3 linked regions of the Lytechinus pictus genome follow. The protein of the gene in region 1 purifies or fractionates together with the protein of each later gene. This does not show direct contact. Links are inferred from orthologs where the notes say so. Each region holds a gene or a part of one and is shown in the gene's direction. Other genes may lie near its edges.

What was found.
Region 2: the proteins of proton-coupled zinc antiporter SLC30A5-like (region 1) and zinc transporter 6-like purify together in Homo sapiens (co-immunoprecipitation; 5 studies listed by BioGRID and IntAct, with this or other methods). This does not show direct contact. The link is inferred for Lytechinus pictus from reciprocal best matches to the Homo sapiens genes SLC30A5 and SLC30A6.
Region 3: the proteins of proton-coupled zinc antiporter SLC30A5-like (region 1) and protein-L-histidine N-pros-methyltransferase-like purify together in Homo sapiens (co-immunoprecipitation; 3 studies listed by BioGRID and IntAct, with this or other methods). This does not show direct contact. The link is inferred for Lytechinus pictus from reciprocal best matches to the Homo sapiens genes SLC30A5 and METTL9.

What each region holds. Positions count from the first base shown.
Region 1 is NC_087249.1:15,765,104-15,772,819, forward strand, and holds the start of proton-coupled zinc antiporter SLC30A5-like, read left to right. Parts: upstream 1-4,680; 5' UTR 4,681-4,969; intron 4,970-7,206; 5' UTR 7,207-7,351; coding exon 7,352-7,395; intron 7,396-7,716. UniProt on the Homo sapiens protein: Together with SLC30A6 forms a functional proton-coupled zinc ion antiporter mediating zinc entry into the lumen of organelles along the secretory pathway.
Region 2 is NC_087251.1:1,066,073-1,073,234, forward strand, and holds the start of zinc transporter 6-like, read left to right. Parts: upstream 1-4,090; 5' UTR 4,091-4,145; coding exon 4,146-4,196; intron 4,197-4,668; coding exon 4,669-4,753; intron 4,754-5,245; coding exon 5,246-5,354; intron 5,355-6,196; coding exon 6,197-6,277; intron 6,278-6,834; coding exon 6,835-7,014; intron 7,015-7,162. UniProt on the Homo sapiens protein: Has probably no intrinsic transporter activity but together with SLC30A5 forms a functional zinc ion:proton antiporter heterodimer, mediating zinc entry into the lumen of organelles along the secretory pathway.
Region 3 is NC_087246.1:64,750,515-64,757,948, forward strand, and holds the start of protein-L-histidine N-pros-methyltransferase-like, read left to right. Parts: upstream 1-4,386; 5' UTR 4,387-4,602; coding exon 4,603-4,710; intron 4,711-7,434. Other genes in the region: serine/threonine-protein kinase 24-like, read left to right, coding at 1-543, 1,027-1,199. UniProt on the Homo sapiens protein: Protein-histidine N-methyltransferase that specifically catalyzes 1-methylhistidine (pros-methylhistidine) methylation of target proteins.

The sequences.
Region 1 (7,716 bases):
AACCCCCCTACACACACCCAAAATATATTTCAGGAGCAATCTTCCAATTGTATTTTATAAAGAGGACTTTTAGTTGAAATTAGTACTCCTCAATATACGAAAAAACATAGAGTATATAGGGGTGTGGGCTACTAAAACTAAAGCACTAGCCCGTTGTTTTTATTTACAAATTGAAAGAAGGGAACCCCCCCGACACACACCCAAAATATATTTCAGGAGCAATCTTCCAATTGTATTTTAGAAAGAGGACTTTTAGTTGAAATTTACTCCTCAATATACGAAAAAACATAGAGTATATAGGGGTGTGGGCTACTAAAACTAAAGCACTAGCCCGTTGTTTTTATTTACAAATTGAAAGAAGGGAAACCCCCCTACACACACCCAAAATATATTTCAGGAGCAATCTTCCAATTGTATTTTATAAAGAGGACTTTTAGTTGAAATTAGTACTCCTCAATATACGAAAAAACATAGAGTATATAGGGGTGTGGGCTACTAAAACTAAAGCACTAGCCCGTTGTTTTTATTTACAAATTGAAAGAAGGGAACCCCCCCGACACACACCCAAAATATATTTCAGGAGCAATCTTCCAATTGTATTTTAGAAAGAGGACTTTTAGTTGAAATTTACTCCTCAATATACGAAAAAACATAGAGTATATAGGGGTGTGGGCTACTAAAACTAAAGCACTAGCCCGTTGTTTTTATTTACAAATTGAAAGAAGGGAAACCCCCCTACACACACCCAAAATATATTTCAGGAGCAATCTTCCAATTGTATTTTATAAAGAGGACTTTTAGTTGAAATTAGTACTCCTCAATATACGAAAAAACATAGAGTATATAGGGGTGTGGGCTACTAAAACTAAAGCACTAGCCCGTTGTTTTTATTTACAAATTGAAAGAAGGGAACCCCCCCGACACACACCCAAAATATATTTCAGGAGCAATCTTCCAATTGTATTTTAGAAAGAGGACTTTTAGTTGAAATTTACTCCTCAATATACGAAAAAACATAGAGTATATAGGGGTGTGGGCTACTAAAACTAAAGCACTAGCCCGTTGTTTTTATTTACAAATTGAAAGAAGGGAAACCCCCCTACACACACCCAAAATATATTTCAGGAGCAATCTTCCAATTGTATTTTATAAAGAGGACTTTTAGTTGAAATTAGTACTCCTCAATATACGAAAAAACATAGAGTATATAGGGGTGTGGGCTACTAAAACTAAAGCACTAGCCCGTTGTTTTTATTTACAAATTGAAAGAAGGGAACCCCCCCGACACACACCCAAAATATATTTCAGGAGCAATCTTCCAATTGTATTTTAGAAAGAGGACTTTTAGTTGAAATTTACTCCTCAATATACGAAAAAACATAGAGTATATAGGGGTGTGGGCTACTAAAACTAAAGCACTAGCCCGTTGTTTTTATTTACAAATTGAAAGAAGGGAAACCCCCCTACACACACCCAAAATATATTTCAGGAGCAATCTTCCAATTGTATTTTATAAAGAGGACTTTTAGTTGAAATTAGTACTCCTCAATATACGAAAAAACATAGAGTATATAGGGGTGTGGGCTACTAAAACTAAAGCACTAGCCCGTTGTTTTTATTTACAAATTGAAAGAAGGGAACCCCCCCGACACACACCCAAAATATATTTCAGGAGCAATCTTCCAATTGTATTTTAGAAAGAGGACTTTTAGTTGAAATTTACTCCTCAATATACGAAAAAACATAGAGTATATAGGGGTGTGGGCTACTAAAACTAAAGCACTAGCCCGTTGTTTTTATTTACAAATTGAAAGAAGGGAAACCCCCCTACACACACCCAAAATATATTTCAGGAGCAATCTTCCAATTGTATTTTATAAAGAGGACTTTTAGTTGAAATTAGTACTCCTCAATATACGAAAAAACATAGAGTATATAGGGGTGTGGGCTACTAAAACTAAAGCACTAGCCCGTTGTTTTTATTTACAAATTGAAAGAAGGGAACCCCCCCGACACACACCCAAAATATATTTCAGGAGCAATCTTCCAATTGTATTTTAGAAAGAGGACTTTTAGTTGAAATTTACTCCTCAATATACGAAAAAACATAGAGTATATAGGGGTGTGGGCTACTAAAACTAAAGCACTAGCCCGTTGTTTTTATTTACAAATTGAAAGAAGGGAAACCCCCCTACACACACCCAAAATATATTTCAGGAGCAATCTTCCAATTGTATTTTATAAAGAGGACTTTTAGTTGAAATTAGTACTCCTCAATATACGAAAAAACATAGAGTATATAGGGGTGTGGGCTACTAAAACTAAAGCACTAGCCCGTTGTTTTTATTTACAAATTGAAAGAAGGGAACCCCCCCGACACACACCCAAAATATATTTCAGGAGCAATCTTCCAATTGTATTTTAGAAAGAGGACTTTTAGTTGAAATTTACTCCTCAATATACGAAAAAACATAGAGTATATAGGGGTGTGGGCTACTAAAACTAAAGCACTAGCCCGTTGTTTTTATTTACAAATTGAAAGAAGGGAAACCCCCCTACACACACCCAAAATATATTTCAGGAGCAATCTTCCAATTGTATTTTATAAAGAGGACTTTTAGTTGAAATTAGTACTCCTCAATATACGAAAAAACATAGAGTATATAGGGGTGTGGGCTACTAAAACTAAAGCACTAGCCCGTTGTTTTTATTTACAAATTGAAAGAAGGGAACCCCCCCGACACACACCCAAAATATATTTCAGGAGCAATCTTCCAATTGTATTTTAGAAAGAGGACTTTTAGTTGAAATTTACTCCTCAATATACGAAAAAACATAGAGTATATAGGGGTGTGGGCTACTAAAACTAAAGCACTAGCCCGTTGTTTTTATTTACAAATTGAAAGAAGGGAAACCCCCCTACACACACCCAAAATATATTTCAGGAGCAATCTTCCAATTGTATTTTATAAAGAGGACTTTTAGTTGAAATTAGTACTCCTCAATATACGAAAAAACATAGAGTATATAGGGGTGTGGGCTACTAAAACTAAAGCACTAGCCCGTTGTTTTTATTTACAAATTGAAAGAAGGGAACCCCCCCGACACACACCCAAAATATATTTCAGGAGCAATCTTCCAATTGTATTTTAGAAAGAGGACTTTTAGTTGAAATTTACTCCTCAATATACGAAAAAACATAGAGTATATAGGGGTGTGGGCTACTAAAACTAAAGCACTAGCCCGTTGTTTTTATTTACAAATTGAAAGAAGGGAAACCCCCCTACACACACCCAAAATATATTTCAGGAGCAATCTTCCAATTGTATTTTATAAAGAGGACTTTTAGTTGAAATTAGTACTCCTCAATATACGAAAAAACATAGAGTATATAGGGGTGTGGGCTACTAAAACTAAAGCACTAGCCCGTTGTTTTTATTTACAAATTGAAAGAAGGGAACCCCCCCGACACACACCCAAAATATATTTCAGGAGCAATCTTCCAATTGTATTTTAGAAAGAGGACTTTTAGTTGAAATTTACTCCTCAATATACGAAAAAACATAGAGTATATAGGGGTGTGGGCTACTAAAACTAAAGCACTAGCCCGTTGTTTTTATTTACAAATTGAAAGAAGGGAAACCCCCCTACACACACCCAAAATATATTTCAGGAGCAATCTTCCAATTGTATTTTATAAAGAGGACTTTTAGTTGAAATTAGTACTCCTCAATATACGAAAAAACATAGAGTATATAGGGGTGTGGGCTACTAAAACTAAAGCACTAGCCCGTTGTTTTTATTTACAAATTGAAAGAAGGGAACCCCCCCGACACACACCCAAAATATATTTCAGGAGCAATCTTCCAATTGTATTTTAGAAAGAGGACTTTTAGTTGAAATTTACTCCTCAATATACGAAAAAACATAGAGTATATAGGGGTGTGGGCTACTAAAACTAAAGCACTAGCCCGTTGTTTTTATTTACAAATTGAAAGAAGGGAAACCCCCCTACACACACCCAAAATATATTTCAGGAGCAATCTTCCAATTGTATTTTATAAAGAGGACTTTTAGTTGAAATTAGTACTCCTCAATATACGAAAAAACATAGAGTATATAGGGGTGTGGGCTACTAAAACTAAAGCACTAGCCCGTTGTTTTTATTTACAAATTGAAAGAAGGGAACCCCCCCGACACACACCCAAAATATATTTCAGGAGCAATCTTCCAATTGTATTTTAGAAAGAGGACTTTTAGTTGAAATTTACTCCTCAATATACGAAAAAACATAGAGTATATAGGGGTGTGGGCTACTAAAACTAAAGCACTAGCCCGTTGTTTTTATTTACAAATTGAAAGAAGGGAAACCCCCCTACACACACCCAAAATATATTTCAGGAGCAATCTTCCAATTGTATTTTATAAAGAGGAGATTCATCACCTCAAACAGCAAAATAGCCCTAATCCTTCCGCCTGTCAAAATATAGTCCAAAATTGGTGATATTTCTTCCCAATTTGGGAAAAGGAAGTTCAGTAATTACCAAAAATAGAATCAGTGTTAGATGGAAAATCATATGCATACACTTTGTCAATCAGCCATATCAAAATTAAAAAAAAATAGCAATGGGTTGGCTCGAATGAATATCTATGGCCTGCCACTAGAGAACAGGCCCGTGTAGCACTGACCCCGTTTGTTTGATTTTGTACAAGAATGCACGCTTCTCTTCGTGCGCAAAATCCTGTATCTGATCTATCTAATATATCGCGATATTGTTGGCTGGAACTGTTGGCTGGCTTGCTGTTGGCTGGCTTATTGTTGGCTCACTTGACATAGGCTTGCATGCATGCAGTGAATTACATTACGTGGCCGTATTATCAATCCACTAGTAAGTTAGGTCTCAAGGCGTCAATTTTCTGAAACTCCTTTGAAACATGAGAAGTATACAATTGCAAGAATTTAAGGCAGGTAAGACAAGAGTGAATCATTTTCCAGTTTGCAAAATAGGGTCTTTTTTTCCTAAGACCTAACTCCTAAGTTTTGCTTGCAGCTAGCCTAGGCCCAAGCTTCGCCCTCGCCTCGGTCCCATATGCCCATTTTCATGGCATGTTCGCCAGTTTCTGACAAGCACCGGTAGGCGGTAACTCTGACCTCTGTGGACGATCATTTTGTCGAACACTTGTTATAATTTCAATCATATATTAAACGCGATATTTTTTTATTATTCCTGCATCAAACTTCCACCATTGATACGCAAATACCAACAAGAATAAAATTGAAAGATGTGATTTTTTGCCGAGATCAGTTTTCTTTCTGAAATTAATTCTGAGTCTGAACTTGGTCTTGAACACTCCTAGTACCAATGAGGTCCAACATTACATGTATGGACCTCATAGGCGACATCAGTAGTATTTTTGGTTAGAAATCTCTGAGAACAGGATATTTAGGCAATTATATCACAAGTACAAGCTATATTCCTTTCTCTTATTTAAATTATAATTTTATAGTGTAAATGCATCGTTAGCAACAACAAAAAATGAAAGAAATGAAGGGGAACTTACATTTTCACGGCTTTTTCCTGATTTTCTGGGCAGCTGCTCTTCTCTTCTGACTCGCGATCGAAGCTGATATGAAGATCACGTGATTCGCGTTCTCGTCAGCTGATCGGTTGGTTATTCTTTTCGTCAGACGTTAATAATATATATTTTATAATGCTAGCATTCATCGCTAATTTAGGTGAAAGAGATTGAAGTTAAACAGCGCCAGGTCGGAATCATAATTATTTTGGAAGAGTGTATTTATACACTCGATCTCATACCTGACGTAGACGGCGCTATTCAACAAATGCACAATCTTCAATATAAAAAATAAAACAGAAAGAACGCCTTGAACACAGGCCAAAATGCCTAACGATTTATCCGCGGCATTAACAACTATCGTAAAGGGCGCTCCATTTATCAATAAAGATGGACGCTAAGCTGTCTATGGCGACAAAATTTGCCGCAAATATTTACGAAGAATTGTGAGAAATGGTCTGAAAATGCAACAAAAGAACCGGTGAGTACCGAATAAACATTATTAAAGTTTTAAATAGATTATACATACCTTGTAATTGTAGATTTAGTTTTTAAGGTGATATTAGTGCTTAGTTCTAAGCTAGGGAGGCCCATACGCGCGTGAGTGGAGTCCCAGTTTATTAGCACGGGTAAGTATTGGGGTGTCGCCTAGAGTGGTCTTGAAGTTGAAGTTAAGTTAAAATAAATTCTTTGCCAAACTTGCGATAACACTTGCAGTGCACTAAACTAAAGACTTAAGACAAGTTATCACTCAGCTTCTGATCTCATCCCTCAAGTATTTTGGTCAGTTGAAAATGTTTGGTAGGCCTATTAAAGGTGTGTTTTTAATTTTTTTTTTTTTTGAGGGGGCAAGGGGAGCCGGGAGTTGGAAAATTCACGTCTTAGACTTATTTAGACTATTGCTGTTTTGACTTTGAGCAACTCGTTTTTTTTTTGTACAAATTGTAGAACATACCGTACCGTAATAAGATGTAATGTGTTTCGGGCGCTGATGGAGTTTTTCACTGGCCGACTTCGAGAGAATTTACCCACCTGTATTATTGTTAAAAAATGTCATACACTCACATTCCACAATCAATGTGCCCACCGCACGGTTTTCTGAATATTACAATTGGGAACGGCTGTTATTCAGTTGGATCTTGAAGTCGTTGTCGAATTTTCATTCAGATGTCACTTCGCTTGGTAATGTTTAGCTTCATCGTAGGTTTGATATAGACTGAAGTTAATGACCAAAAGATCTTCCTGTGGCAGCTGACCCCTTTGTTCACCACATGTTCGCATGATTTTTGGTCGCTAAATTCAATCCACAAATAAATTCCCGGTACAGCGAATCCAAGCGAAGCAATGTCTAAGAATTTGAATGATGCTGTCCAGATCGAAGCCCAAATACAGCCGTTCCCGACCGCGATATTAAAAAAAGTGGTGGGAGATTTACCTTGAAATGTGATCGAGAGACTTGTGAACAATACTAGTGAAATTTTAAAGTTGGCTGGTGCGAAACTGCATTCGCCAAATTTTGTATGCTATCATGAATTAAGTGTGTTTTGTACTTTAAGATTCTGGCTCTATTTTATTAATTTAAGAAAAATGATTGATCCTACCTCGTTTGTCTCATACCTCTCTCCTCAGATATTGGAATGGAAAATATAAAAATTACCTAATCCTACAAGATCTTGTTAAGAACATTAAGAACAACACAGATGTTCCTTCAAGCCTGTACTAGTTTTCTAACACATCAGTGATAATACATGTTAGTAGGTGATCAGCTTTCAAGATGATGGGTTCTACTAGCAATCTAGGGCGAGTCCACCATGAGAGGTATGTCATTTCATTGTCCAAGTTTGGTTTTCTTTTTTCTCTCTTTTTTTCAGTTTAGATTTTAAAGTACAATAAAGCTTTGCATATATATATTTTAAATATTCCTTCAATAATATGTTTGCCCTGTTTTACCTTGACTTTCTTACGTTTTTCTTTATAGGACTATAACTATGGCACATAAAAGTGAATAGAAAGGGCTTGACCGATTTTGGATGACTGAAATTTTATCCCTTGTAATGCACATGACGTACAGTGTACTGTATCATTTGTGCAGCAAAGATAATTGTTGGATTAAGGAATTGAATGATTATTGATTCATGT
Region 2 (7,162 bases), on another chromosome or scaffold:
GCCTTATGACGCCATTGCCTGTTCAATGATATGACCGGGAAATTTTTGGCTCTTGCCCCCCCTGGCCACCGACCCCTGTTACGCCGCTGAACGGAGCCAGGAATTCCTTCCCATTCATCTCTGTGTACCGCCAAAAAACTGAAAATTTCACCCCCGAGATTTCTACTTCAAAAAGATCTAGCCCTGGCTAAATCATGTAAATGGGATTCAACTTCATTTCAGACATTTCTACGCTATGGATTTCATTTGTAAACAAGAATTCATTAAAAAAACAAGAAAATGTTATTAAAAGACGGGGGAAACTTGCCACCGTGTTTACGTCGCCATCTTGATTTCATTGCCTTTCGCTTGCGATAAACCTTATGGCATGAATGGGAACCAGTCTGTATAGTCAGTATGGTACTGATAGTGGATCGTATTACTGAACACTTTTCATGAATTCATAATCATCTAACACATTTTTCTCATGAAATTCACCAAACAGAAACTTTCACCATAAATACACAATCGGACCCCTCTTTGCATGTGAAATATTTTGGTCACTTGATTCTTGAAAAAGGTATCGTATTACCGAACATGTGTTTTCTATGGGAAAAGTTGAGAAATCAACAAAATCACTGATTGAGCTATTTTGACCATATTTGATTATTTTTAGAATATTAAGACTTTGAAAATGTGTTTTGGACCGTTTTCATCATCTTTCTCTTCAAGTTCCCTTTTGAAGGATGTTGCAAAGTTTTGAGCGTATGATGAAATTATTTTCTGACGCGTACGATGCGCGCGTTCGGTAATACAAGGCCGGTTGGTAATACAATCACTTACAATACTAGGACGTAGCTAGCCAGGCCAGGAGGCTCCTAAGTATTCACTGACGTGCTTAATCTCCATGGAGCCAGGGATTCAGCTAAGACAGCATTCACCTTCCACACGGTCATTTTTCCCATGGCCATGCCATGGATAGACTTGTCTCTAGCAACAAACTATCAAATCTTTACTTTTCTAGCCCTAACTTATGTAAATGGGCTACAAGTATATACCCCCTGTACCCCCTGCAAGCACTAACAGACAGCAAGTTGTGAAAAATAAACAGTGAACTGGGGGGAATTGAGGTCACTGAATCTATTTTTTGCACTCTCAATCCCCGTAATTGCCGTCTATATCCCGCAGGGGTAAGTGAAAAAAAAAACGTCCCCATAAACAAGGACAATCTCAGTTTATCAAGACATGATTAATCTTGGTTTATGCAGGCCTCTACAAAAAAAGAATCATCACTTGCCCTGTCGGGCAAGTGATAAAAAAATTTGCTTGCCCGATAGAAAAAACTGCTTGCCCGATTTTTTTTCAAAAATTCTTTTGCTCTTAATTATTCTTTTCTGTCCTGGCTGAACTTGATTTACTGGCGCTGCCTTTGGCATTTCTTTTTCTTGACTCTTGTTCAAGTTGTTCTGGTCGCCGATCACGAAGACAAAAGTCGCCTATTTTAGTCTGACGACTCATTGTTTATTTGGTTTGAAGTTGAAGCCGAGTCCTGGCCAGGGTGACAAGATTTCACAAAATGAAATACAGGGCAATCAACAAAAAAAAAAGATCAAGAAAGAAGGCTACACAGTGTTAGACTTGTGAAAAAAAATATTCAGAATTGGAAGGGAGGGTGAACAAAAGAATGAAGGATAGAAAGAAAAGAGATGAATTGAGAAGTAAGAAAGAAAAAATGAAGGGGAAAATGAAGGAAATATAAGAAAGTTCTAATAAAAGAAGGATGAGAGAGAGAATAAAAATAGATAAAAAGGTTTCCGTCATTCTTTGAATTGAAGATAGAAAGAAAAAAAAGAAAAGAAGGGAAGATGAATAAATGTGTGCAAGTCAAAATAAAGAAGAGAAAGACAAAAAGAAAGTAAGAAAAAAGGAGGAGGAAAGAAAATGTTTCCTTCATTCTTGGAAAGAAAGAAACAAAGCAAGAAGAAAACAGGAAGGAAGGAGGGAAAGAATGAAGGAAGAAAGGGAAAGAAAGTATAAGGGAAAATAATAAGGACAAAATGAAAGAAATAATGAAAGAAAAAAAGGAGGAAAGAGCGGGAGGAAAGAATGAAGGTAGGCCAGAATGAAAAAAAGAAGAAAATAATGGAAGGAGAGAAAGAACGAAAATAAAAACGAGTGGAAGGGAGAAGGAATGAAGGAAATAAAAAAAAAGGTAATGTAATAAAGAAGGCAAGTAAGAGAAAGAAGGAAAGAAAGAAAATGGACAGAGAGAGAGAGAAAGGATCAGGAAATAAAAATAGATATGTAACAAAAAAGGGCAAGAAGGAAGGATAGAAGGATAGAAAAGAAAGAAAGAGGAAAAAGTTCAAACTTCAAGCAAATAAAAACAATCCAATCATATAACCAAAATCCTAAAATGATATTTGATGTTTTTTTATATATTTAAAAAAAAATAAAAAAATAAAATGTTTTAGAAATGAATAAAATACGGGACGTCTGGTCACCCTGGTCCTGGCTGAGTCAGTCCGAAGCTTGCATGCATTCAGCATGATCTAGCTCGAGAGTCGACTGGCTCGCGATCGCTTGTGTACGTCCGTACATGTACTGTAGCGCTGATGTATTAGAGCATGTGCTCAGAGGGCGAGAGAGGAGTTTCCCCAGCTAGCTCCTTCGTCGATTAGTAGCGCATGCGCACAGTGTAGTTTAGAAAGTAAAATGGCTGCCCCCATCGGCATCGAACGGGACCGCTGGCGATAAAATGTCGGTAAATTGGCGCTGATTTGACATGTTTCCACTGTTTTTTTACTGGTATGACATTGTATGAGAGATAATTGCAATTTATAAAAAAATTATTAAACTTTACTGTCAATTTATCTTTTTCATTTTCAAAACAGGCACTTGCCCGATCGGGCAATTGACTTTGAAAAATGCTTGCCCGCACGTCAATTTCTCTTGCCCCGGGCAAGCGGGTTTGTCGCGCCCTGGTTTATGAAGATATCCGTGTTTTCTGTGACAATCCCAATTTTTTACCTGCGCCTCTACTAAAAGTCCAATGTCTGGATGTCCAACACATATCGACCACTTCTTTTGAAACCGGCCACCTTGTCCTTGCGCGCATGAAGTCAGATGATTGCGTATAACAATCACTATGCGCTGGAGAGTAGGAACAATATTACGATAAGAATCAATTTTACAAGAGAAAAAGAGGGATAATAAGGTAAGAAAATTGTAGAAATTATCAAAATAATATTGACCAGACCCGAACCCCACTGCCAAATAGCTGTTAATACCGGAAATCCAAAAGGAAACTGCTTTTGAACAAATAATCCGTCGTCGGTGGTCGAATCCTGTGTCGGAGCTTGCGATGGAAGTAGCAAGACAATCAACCAGCATGATGACATCATAGAACTGACTTGGAAGAGTCAAAATATTTCGCCAGCGCGACAAGAATCGGCGGTAAATTTAGTGCATGGCGGGTGGTCGGTCCTAAAAAAGGGGTGCAAATGAGAATATTTGAAATCATCGCATTTGTTGATCGCTGATATCTACGTGCATAGAATCTGAGTCGTCTAATCATGGGATTCTGATCTGCTCAATTTTCTGCACAAATGAGATAAAAACAGGGTAAAGCTGATGAGTTGAGATGCATCTTTTTACTTGCACTATAGTTTAGTTTTGTTCAACTGCACCAAATGTCATACTGTCTTTTTGTGATTGCGGCCTCAGCCAAGTACGACTATACTCTGTAAAGAGGACTGTACTCAACAGAAGAAGAATATTTTTGCAGATATGATGCTTAGAAAATTAGGGTAGGTCGGTCCAACCATACAACTCTATGGAAAATTCTCCATATATTGTACATGCTGGTTCCCAATAAAATGTAAAGAAAGGTACTAGATAGAGATGATTCTGAAGAAATAAATCTTCTTTTTTTTTACAAAATAAATCTAACCAGTAGATTTGCTTTACTATACTCTCTGTTGAACTTTTTAACCAGCAACAAATTGAAAATAGAAAAGTCTCATTTTTTTCTACAAAATTTTATTTTGAAAAAAGAGAAGTAACAAACAGATTTTATTGTTATTAATTTGCATCATTCATTCACAGGGAGTGGCAGCAATTTTATTCATGGAACAATTCAGCCATTCTCCAGACCTCAGCATGGGATGATCTCAAGGATTATGACAGAGTTAAGATCACTCGTGAAGGAACATAAAGTAAGTGCTACCAGCGTCCTCCCCTAAACTTCAGTGTAGATGATCTGTGGGGGTATTGCCCCACCCAAACTGGACTGTTGATCCCAAACCCATAAGAAAAAGGGATATCAGACCATGTGATATACATCCTATAATTGAATTTGATTGACGATGCATGTTTCATTCTATAGACTTTCTGTTGCCTTGGCACCAGATGACACAATAATCTTCATTCTACTAGTCTTTGCCTTTTCACACATGAATGATCAATATAAATAATTTTGACAGCTGTGACACTTAGTCTTTTGTTGCCATATTTCCAACAAGAAAATAAATGATCTCAATATTAAACCTCAAGTGCTTGAATATTTCTTATTGATTGCAACAAGAAATAAATATGCTTCTGATTGAAAATCAAGGTGCATGTGTTGTTTTTATGAAATATACTTGAAGACATATGTTACTGGTACATCTGTTTTCTTTCTTTCCTTAGGCCAAAAGAATCTTTATGCTAGGGTTAATAGGGGCATTGTGTATCATCATCATGCTCCTATGGTGCCAATCAACTAACAGTATAGGTAAGACAACACATACCCCTTTGAAAATCTATTATTCAGATTTAAATGGGACATAAGCAATGGTATACATAGAGTGCTTCCTCATGACTAAAATCACTTTGATTATTAGTAATTAACAAGTGACTAAAGCAGGATTATTAGAGGTACATGTATCAGTGAGAAGATGTGATTATTATGCTAACGCAAACAATGCAACAAAAAAAGGAGACTTTTACCTTCAAAATTGATTGGCTGGTGGGGGGGGGGAGAAGGTCCTCTGCATTTTCAATACTGTTTTTAACCCCTAAACCTGAATATGGCTGGAAGAGAGACGGAGATTATTATTCTCAAATGCGATAGTCATATTTTCAACATATGAAAAAGAGATTTAATGGGTTCTACACTCTTGTAAATTTAAATATTAAATGAAACTCTATATAATTTAAACTTTTATTCACCAAAGCTTTAGACGGGCTTAAATCAATTATTTTCTTTTGTATATATATTTTTTAGCTTTGACAGCATTCACCTATATTATATTGTTTGACGTTCTATCTCTTGGTGTTTGTCTCATCACCATCTGGGTCACCAAGCAAAAACCTTCAAGCATTTATACTTATGGGTAAGTCAATTTTTTCTTTTGCGTAAATGACTATGTAATCAAGCAAAAACCTTCAAGCATTTATACTTATGGGTAAGTCAATTTTTTCTTTTGCGTACATGACTATGTAATCAAGCAAAAACCTCCAAGCATTTATACTTAAACTATTGGGTAAGTCAAGTTTCCATTTGTGTGGAAGACTATCTATGTTAATCCAGCAAAATCTTTAAGCATTTGTACTTATGTGCAAGTCAACTTTCTCTTCGTGTGAATGACTGTCGATATTAATCAAGCAAAAACTTTAGCTTGTAAACTTGTGTTGGTTAATTTTACATTTCAGTGAATGACTATCTATGTTAATCTCAAACCTTCAAGCATTTAATGCTGATAGAGTTTGATTTGGATGATTATATTAAATGCAAAGAACAAATATGTAAATTATAATGCATTGAGTACATGTATGTGATAATGGATTGTGCTCCTCAATTCTATGTTTTTGTTTTGATAATGATAATAATAATATTCCGCATTTATATAGCGCTTAATACATCGGAACGACGTCTCTAAGCGCTTTACAGACATATTATTACCCCGGTCATCGGATCCTTGCATGCCCGCATACAATGTATGCACCTTCTCCACACCCTGGGGAGCATTCCAACAAGAGTTTCAAGACTCAATTGCTAGGCATACTACATATAGGCTTTCACATCCTACCGGGTACCCATTTAACACCTGGGTGGAGAGTGGCAAAGTGTGGATTAACGCCTTGCCAAAGGATGCTAGGCCATGGTGGGATCTGAACACATGACCCTCTGATTACAAGGCTAGATTTTAGGTTAATCACTATTTCTTTATTGCAGGTACGAACGATTTGAGGTCCTAGCAGTATTCTCAACAACAGTGCTTGCCATATTTGGTTCTATATTCATTATGAAAGAAAGGTAATGTTATACACAATGCTATCATAGTAATTCTTGTAAATTGAAATATAATTTCAATGCATGTGAAATTGCATACTGTACTAATTGGTAATATATTAATCATAGAGAAAATATATTTTGTGACCCATTACGGCCATAAACATAAATTTGTCTCAAGTGTCTTCCATCATATTTTCTTTGTGTCTTTGTGATAAAATTTTTATTTGTTAAAATTGATAATGATTTATACCTACATGTGAAATTGTTTACGTCAATGATTTATGTCAATCATTGTTTAAACATTTACACAAGGAATGAGCTCATTTAAAATTAAGTGATATTCATGAAATGCATTTTGATAGCCTATACCATATGATTTTACAATGAAGTTTATGAACATGTTTTTCTTATAAAGACTGGAATACTGTCGAGTACATTGAGTCTTTTAAAATTATTGCCTAGTTTTACAAACAATTTTATCCTTGATCTTAGGTCAGTAATATACTAGATAACTTTAACTGTAATTCAGAGCAGTAAAATGTATCAACCTAGATTCATTCTTATCATTCTCATTGCAGTACTGAGCGAATCATTCAGCCCCCAGAGATACACACTGGTAGGCTAATGTTAGGAGCCATCTTAGGTCTATTCAGTCATCTGGTCCTATTATACGGGTCTAGGAACCAAGCTTTTAGTCATGTTAGTACAGCATCTAAGAGCAGCTGGTTACAAGAACACTTTGCTGATATTTGCCAGAGGTGAGAAATATGTTGTTGAAAGGGTGGTAGGGTAGAAAGATTCAACGAATATAAACAGTGATGCTTTGCAATGTCAGTTATGATTATGAATCAATCATTTATATTATTGTGTAGTGAAATTCTTTATCAAACTCTCCTCTTGCTGGCT
Region 3 (7,434 bases), on another chromosome or scaffold:
AAATGGTCAATGAATCCACTGACACGATCAGTGCTAGGGTAGAGAAAGAGGCAATTGTTCACCAACTTCTATCCGACAGTCAGTACTTTCCGAGCTTTTTAGGCACGCTCGATCTCGACAACGACCCCTGCTTGGCAATAGAATTTGTTGGAAATCAAAAGTCGGGGACCTCCTTCTCTCTCCTCGAGCCTCCGTCTTTGTCTGTTACAAACGGCCTCGACATCGCAGAGGACGTCGTGCGAGGAATGATGGAGCTTCACGACCAAGGGCTCCTGCACAACGACCTCAAGACCGATAATGTCCTTCTCGAGAAAAGAGGTCATAGTTACCACGCCGTCATCATTGACTTCGGTATGGTCAGTACGATCTCGTCGCCGTTACAGATGACGGAGCTTCCTGAAGAATTGAAAGTAGCATACATTCACGGAGAGGAGGGTGATTACGTAGCCCCCGAGGTCGTTCTACATGGACAGTCAACATCGATTTCATCGGATGTATTCTCAGTTGGCAAAATCCTTGAAGACATCACAAAAGTTGTAGAAGGTAATTTGCAAGATTCCTCGTGTAATTTATCAGAGGAGTATATAGAATATATAGGGGACAGGGGCGTATATCAAGGATTGGCTAAAGGAGGGGTGGGGACAGTGGTGTACATATTTTCTGCCAAGCAATTTGCCAAATAAAAATAAAAATGGGGTAGGGCAGGAGGTTTTGTCCCCAAAATTATGAATTTTCAGGTCAATATATTAGTTGCTATCATCCCCATGCACTGCTCGGAGTCTCGGACCGGTTTGGGGCCAATTTTCTTGAATAGTCGGGTTACGCCATTGTCCAACCAGCAGAAGCGATAACCGCTTTGATGGCATAACTGGAATGTATTTCCTTTGAAAGCAAAGATAAAAGACTTCTATAAAAAAAAAAATTGGTTTGAATAATGCCCGGATTAATGAAGATTTCCTTACTCAGTTACCTTTTTCCTGATTGTGTCCGTTTTACTTTAAATTCTTCTCCTCCACAACCATGCAGAAAGATGTCCACTTCTGAAAGATCTAACATCCTTAGCCATCAAATGCATGAAGAGGAATCCACAGTCAAGACCGGACCTTTCCTTTGTTCTCGAACATATCACTTCCTTTAAGAAACAAATGGATCGCCGCCAAATTCCACTCTGGAAAAGACTCGTTAAAAAACATCGATGAAGAGTGAAGTTTCACAAAAGCAAAATCTTTCCGAGCAAAACATTTGGACCATCAATATTTAAAAAGATTTGCAGACATATAATTATGCTGGTCTTGCTGGATATACAGTATATGAAGTCGTACTAATTCATCTGTCTATAAACGGTTACACGATAATAATTGTCAAGCAGGGAATGGTAGCAGACTAATGATGAGTTTGCAGAAGCAAATGGATTACCTGGGGAGCGTTCATAAAATGACTTGTGAGACGTTTTAACATTAATTTTTATCCGTCAAGTCCCCAACAGTTACCATAGTAACAATGCTTCTCAGCCAATCAAAATCAACAAAAGAGGTCTGGCGAGCGTTTCAGACGTTTATCCGACAAGTAGTGATTTATCCGACAGTTACTATGGTAACATTGTCTCTTAGCCAATCATAATCAAGGAAAGTTGTCAGACCTGATAACTTGTCGGGTGAAAATGTTAATGAAGCGCTCATCGGATCTAAAACATTTTCGGACGAAAAATATTGATGAAATACCCCTGATTAACAATTTTTTACCGGATAAATAGTAATAGAAATATTGTATTTATAATTTCGATTGATGATGTATTTATAATAGTGTTTTCAGTGCGCAGGCGCATAACTTGTTATTTTAATTTAAGACGTATTTTGTTTTTGTTTTTATTCACTATATTCATGGGATAATAAAGAAATTCTAAGATTTTATGAATAAGTATTCTTATCAAAGAACATATGCAGTATGATTTTCAGTAAATGTTATAATAATCATTCCGAAAGATATGAAAAATGATGGATTTAACATAAACTATTGATTCATTCAAAGAAAAAAAATTTACAGCATTTCAATTTGCCTTTTCACTGCCAAGTTCAATATTTTACATGTTATGTTACATTCAATATCATGTTATAATGATGAGCCATTAAAGTTTGTGGACTATCTTTTCAAATTCCTCGCAAGCTATAGTTGTATACAAAAAAGAAGTTTTCGAAGTATGCAAAAAAATATTATATATACGACATTTCTGTGTGACTTTTCTGTTTAAAAAGCAATTAAAATTAGTTATTGTTAAGTAATTTGATTTATGCAAAGACAAAACCCTTAAATTCTGAACTCTATGGACTCTTGGGAGCGTAACTTGAAAGCTCTTGTGGGACATTTTATCCGACAAGTCCTGTTTTATCTGACAGTTACCATGGTAATGGTGCTTCTCAGCCAACCACATTCAAGAAGAGTTGTCAGATCTGACTTGTCGGACGAAAATGTTGTTGAAACACTCTCTGGTAAGCTATGGGAGTCAGATGTTACAAAAAAATCGTAACATTGTAGGCGCAATTAATTAGCTCATTCTACACAAAGTCAATTCATAACTGTCTGGGAATTAGGGGGATAATAAACGTAAAAAGCATATATTTTCGGCTTCCCATTTTTTTAACACAGTTAGACCATAAATTAAACTGGACTTCAGAATACTTGCCATTATGCTTGAAATATTTGACATTTCTGTGTTACTTATTGGTATATTAATTATTAAATTCAATATCACTGCCGATCTTGCTGTGCGTTATGAATAAGTTTTATTGAAACCTTACCATGCATACAGTATAATGATGGTGATGATGATGATAACAATGATATTAATTATATGAAAATGATAATCAGGATAATGATAATGGCGGTATGATGATGGTGATGACGATGATGATGCATGATAGGCATATTGCAATATGCACTTATTGGTTATCAAGAGGGACCATGCATAGGCGTCACTCCGACCTTGAGCCGGGAAGGGGGGGGGGGCTTTTTAAGGACTCTTGGTATGAATTCAGTAACATGATACGTGTTTCACCATTTAAAGATGCGCGCGCGAAGCGCGACCTAAAAACAATGCATTATAGCCTAAACACTTACTTCCTTAATCATGAACACGCCATATCTCTTACTAAACAAATAACGCGAGCATTATGAAGTGTGAGCTGATTATTGTTGATGTTCATACCTGAAAACTATAGATTTTGAGCACCTTTATAATAGTAACGGTATCCGTTATTTGTTTATAATTTGAGCGCGAAGCGCGAGCTGAAATTTATAAATGGGCCTACATATACCTGACTAATCTTGAAAGGAATTGAAGCATTGTTTGACATACATGCATAAAGAAAAGTCATGAAGGGGGTAATGAAGGCTATACCAGTAATTAAATTTATGCAAAGGCGCAAAGCGCAACCTTAAGAACGGACATTTTTTACACATTGTTTTTTTTTTAACAATAGGCAGACAACTTAAAAAAAGGAACTTTTTAAGCAGTTTGTTGGATATGTGATTTATCTTTTTATCTTTTTTTTTTTTGATATGCAAAAAAAAAATTGACAATCAAAAAGACAAAAAAGAAGTTTGTCATCACTCTCAAATGACTAAGGTTTGTATCTCTTTTTTTTGGAGGGGGGGGGTAGATTTCTCTTGTGCCAAGACCTCTTGCCGCCCACCCCCCCCCCCCACCCGTTGATCCGAACCTGAGCAATATCTTGTTCTAACGCCATATTTACATTCCAAATTTTAATTGTGCCTGTCAAGGGGGGCACGGGCCGGCTGGTGCCCCCTGGATCGATCCGCCAGTGTACTGAAGGTACAGTGAATACCATTTTCAATTTTCTGAGAAAATCACATTTGATTGAGTTTTTACCATACGATATGTAGGAAAGCTGCTCGCATATGACGTCACAGATCATAGGCCTATAATTCAAATTCTATTTATTTTTTCATCCTTTCATGGATTTTTCTCAAACCGGCAATATTTTGTTACTATTTTTCCCGCTATTTTTCCAATGAATGTTCAACAAACCCACCCATCAACCAGGGGCGGATCCAGGATTTTCCTAAAGGGAGGGGGGGGGGCAATTTTTTCGGAGGAAAATTTTGACAAGCCCCCCCAAAAAGGGTTTTCAACCACAAATTAAGGATATTTCGTACCCGAAAAAAATTTGACAAGCAAAAAAAAAAAAAAGGTCTTCAATTTCAAAAGAGGGGGCACATCTCGGTTTCAATGGCATTTTTACATTACAAATTTTAATTTTTCTTCTCAAAAGGGGGGCACGTGCCCCCTGTGCCCCCCCCCCCCCCCCTGGATCCGCGCCTGCCACCAACCCAATTAACCCAACCCGGGCCCCCGCCCGGGCCCAACCCAAACCAAACCGAACCAATCCAATCCAATCAAACTGCCTTGCATCCTTGCATGCACCGGCCTCGCCGCTTAGCTAGCCTCACATCACCTGGCCGCGGGACCGGGGCGCGGCCGGGGGGCCGGGGCGGGATGCAGCGCAGCTGATCGGTCTAGCTAGCTAGTTGATCATGATAGAGTCAAGCGACTAACTTCCGAGACTGACTGAAGACGAATTTATTATGGCTTCTCATCGAATTCGCAACCCATTACTCCGTGCAATACATGAACATAATACAGATGAGAGGTTCAGGAGATCAAATTTGAGAAAATATTATGACGTGGAAGCGGTAAGATACTAAGAATCTAGAAAGAAAACAATGTGTGTTTGGTGCTGGTATATTTTTTTTTACAAGGCAAGGGTCCCACATATCTATTTTTGTATTTGTGTACCGTATCTAATTTTTTTACATGTCAATATATTATATAGTTTTTGTGAGAGACTGCCACTGCCCTGACTCTGTACTTATTCAAACTTTCAAATCAAAGAGCTTATGTTGAAGTTATGATCACAGTCATGCGAGGTTAGGACAACATCTATCGAGGTAGACAGCTGGCAGCCATGGCATCAGTTTCTAGGAGTTTTTAACGTAATTTTATGACTCGTACACAGACCAACTGCGTAGCGTAGGCAAGGCTCGACATTAGCGGTGGCCCGGTGGCCCGGGGCCACCAGAAATTCACATCGGGCAACCATTATTGATAAAATGTTAAGTTTTGGTGGCCCGAATCGGGCAACCAATAATTTTCAAAAGTAGCGCAATTTTTCTCCCGATTTTGCACGCATTTATCAACTTTCTACAGTTCAAATTGCAACCCAGTTCGTCATGCGCCCTTTTTGTTGATCTACACACAAATACACACACACAGTTTGCATATTAGGCCTACAGTTATAGCATACAGTAGCTATTATCCAGCCAGCCGCACCGGCCGGCTGCTGGCGTGAGCTAGCTTTGCATGAAGCCACTGCATACAGCTGTGCATGCTCTAGATCTAGCTCAGCCTATTCACACTCTGGGAGCTGCGATAAAAAATGTTGCTGCTTAGAAATCTTCCACAGAACTTTGAAAATCTGAGTCAAAGTCACATTTTACACCAATGAAATGACATTCTACAGTCTATATTACGAAAATTTGGTGTACCCTGATTATTTGCAAGCATTAAGAAGAGGAATTATGACCTCTCTTTTGACTACAAAAGACCGATTTCCAAATGAATTAATACACATAAAAACACATAGGCATGTACATCACAGTCCCACATGTGCATTTGTATGTATGTTGATACTTGGTTTCTTTCGAAGCTGTGTCTTTTCTAGCCAAAAATAAACAGACAGTTTCTTTCTTTCTTGTTTATAAATGACTTCTTAAACCACTCTTGAGATACTTTGGGAAGGCATTTCATTGATATGAAATGTGAATTTTTTCAACATTTTGGCAAATATAGGGAAGGACTTTTCTCTCACTTTTTTTCCAGATATAACTATTGCCGTTTTCTTCTTATTTTTTTTCTTTCATTTTTTTACAGCACTTGGTTAAACCATTTATACCCCTTCCTATTGAATATACCTGATTAAAAAATATGTTTCTACTGAAAATAAAATAATACAAACTAAAGGATATAAAAATAGAAATGTGCCATTTCCAGAAGGTAAGTGAAAATTATTTGCTTGGCTTTTAATTATATTCCAGTCAGAATAGACTGTTGCCACAGCTGTTAAAAAATATTCGTAATGGCTTCTTAATTTTCCCCTTTTCCCCATTTTTATATTAATTTTGTTTTATTCATTTTTCTTTCACTTTTTTTTCTCTAAATTTTCTTTTCTTTTTTTTCCCTGTTCTTTGTTTTTCCTTTCTTCATTTTCTTTCTTTTGTTTTATTTCACTTATTTCTTTTATTATTTTTGTTTTCTTTTTGTAATATACTTTTTGAAAATTATTTTCATTTGTTTCCCCCTTTTATGCATTGTTCTAATTTTTACAACGATAGAAACAATTTATATTTTACCACAAGCCAATTAGCAAAAACAGCAAACAAGGTTTACATACAAGATGATAAAGTGAAAGTAACTTAGTGGTAGTGGCTGCAGAATTAATATTTCAGAAGTTTGTTTTATTAATTTTTAATGTGTTTCTTTATATTTTTCGGGCCACCAAACTTTAATATCGGGCCACCAAAAAAAATTATTTGATGGTTTTGGTGGCCCGAACGGGCCACCACCAAAAAAAGTTAATGTGGAGCCTTGGCGTAGGCGTAGCCAGGATTTCATTTTTGAGGCGTGCTAACACAGAGTGCGCGAAGTGCGCTCCCTAGGGGGTGGGTGCAGGGAGAGGGAGTTTCCCGCTCCCAGGCGAAGCTTTCTATGTTTTATGAATTAAAATGAAGAGGAACCGTCTCTTGAATTTATTGTGATTTTGAACCTTGTTTTCAAAAGTGAAGCAAAATTTATATATATAAATTTAGAGAGAGAGTGAAGTAGTTTCATTAAAGGGGAATCCAGCCTTGGCCATAAAATTTTGTGTTTGGAAGGAGAAAAATAAATTAAACAGAATGGTGAAAGTTTGAAAGAAATCGGACAAGCAATAAAAAAGTTATAGCTGCTTTAAAATTGAGATCACTAATACTATGTAGATTTCCAATTGGCAACTGGGTAAGTTAATTATGACAAGGGGCAAGGACAACTTTCCCATAGGCCATGTACTTTATTATCAGGGATTTGTGATTTTCTCTTAAGTACCCATTCCCCTGGGGAAGTAATCTAAACATAACCCAGGTAGTATATTGTTTTATGTCCTCATGAAAGAAAAACATAATTTGAAATAAAACTTTGGGGGAAAATGACACTTTAGCCAAAATATGTATTGGAGTACATGGAAGAGTAGTCCTTGCCATACATCACTATAACATCCCATATGCAGCCAATTTGAAGTTTCCATGGGTATAGTGATTACCAATATTTACAACTTTTAAAAATTCATAACTTTCTTGTTGTTTGTCCAATATTGTTCAAACTTT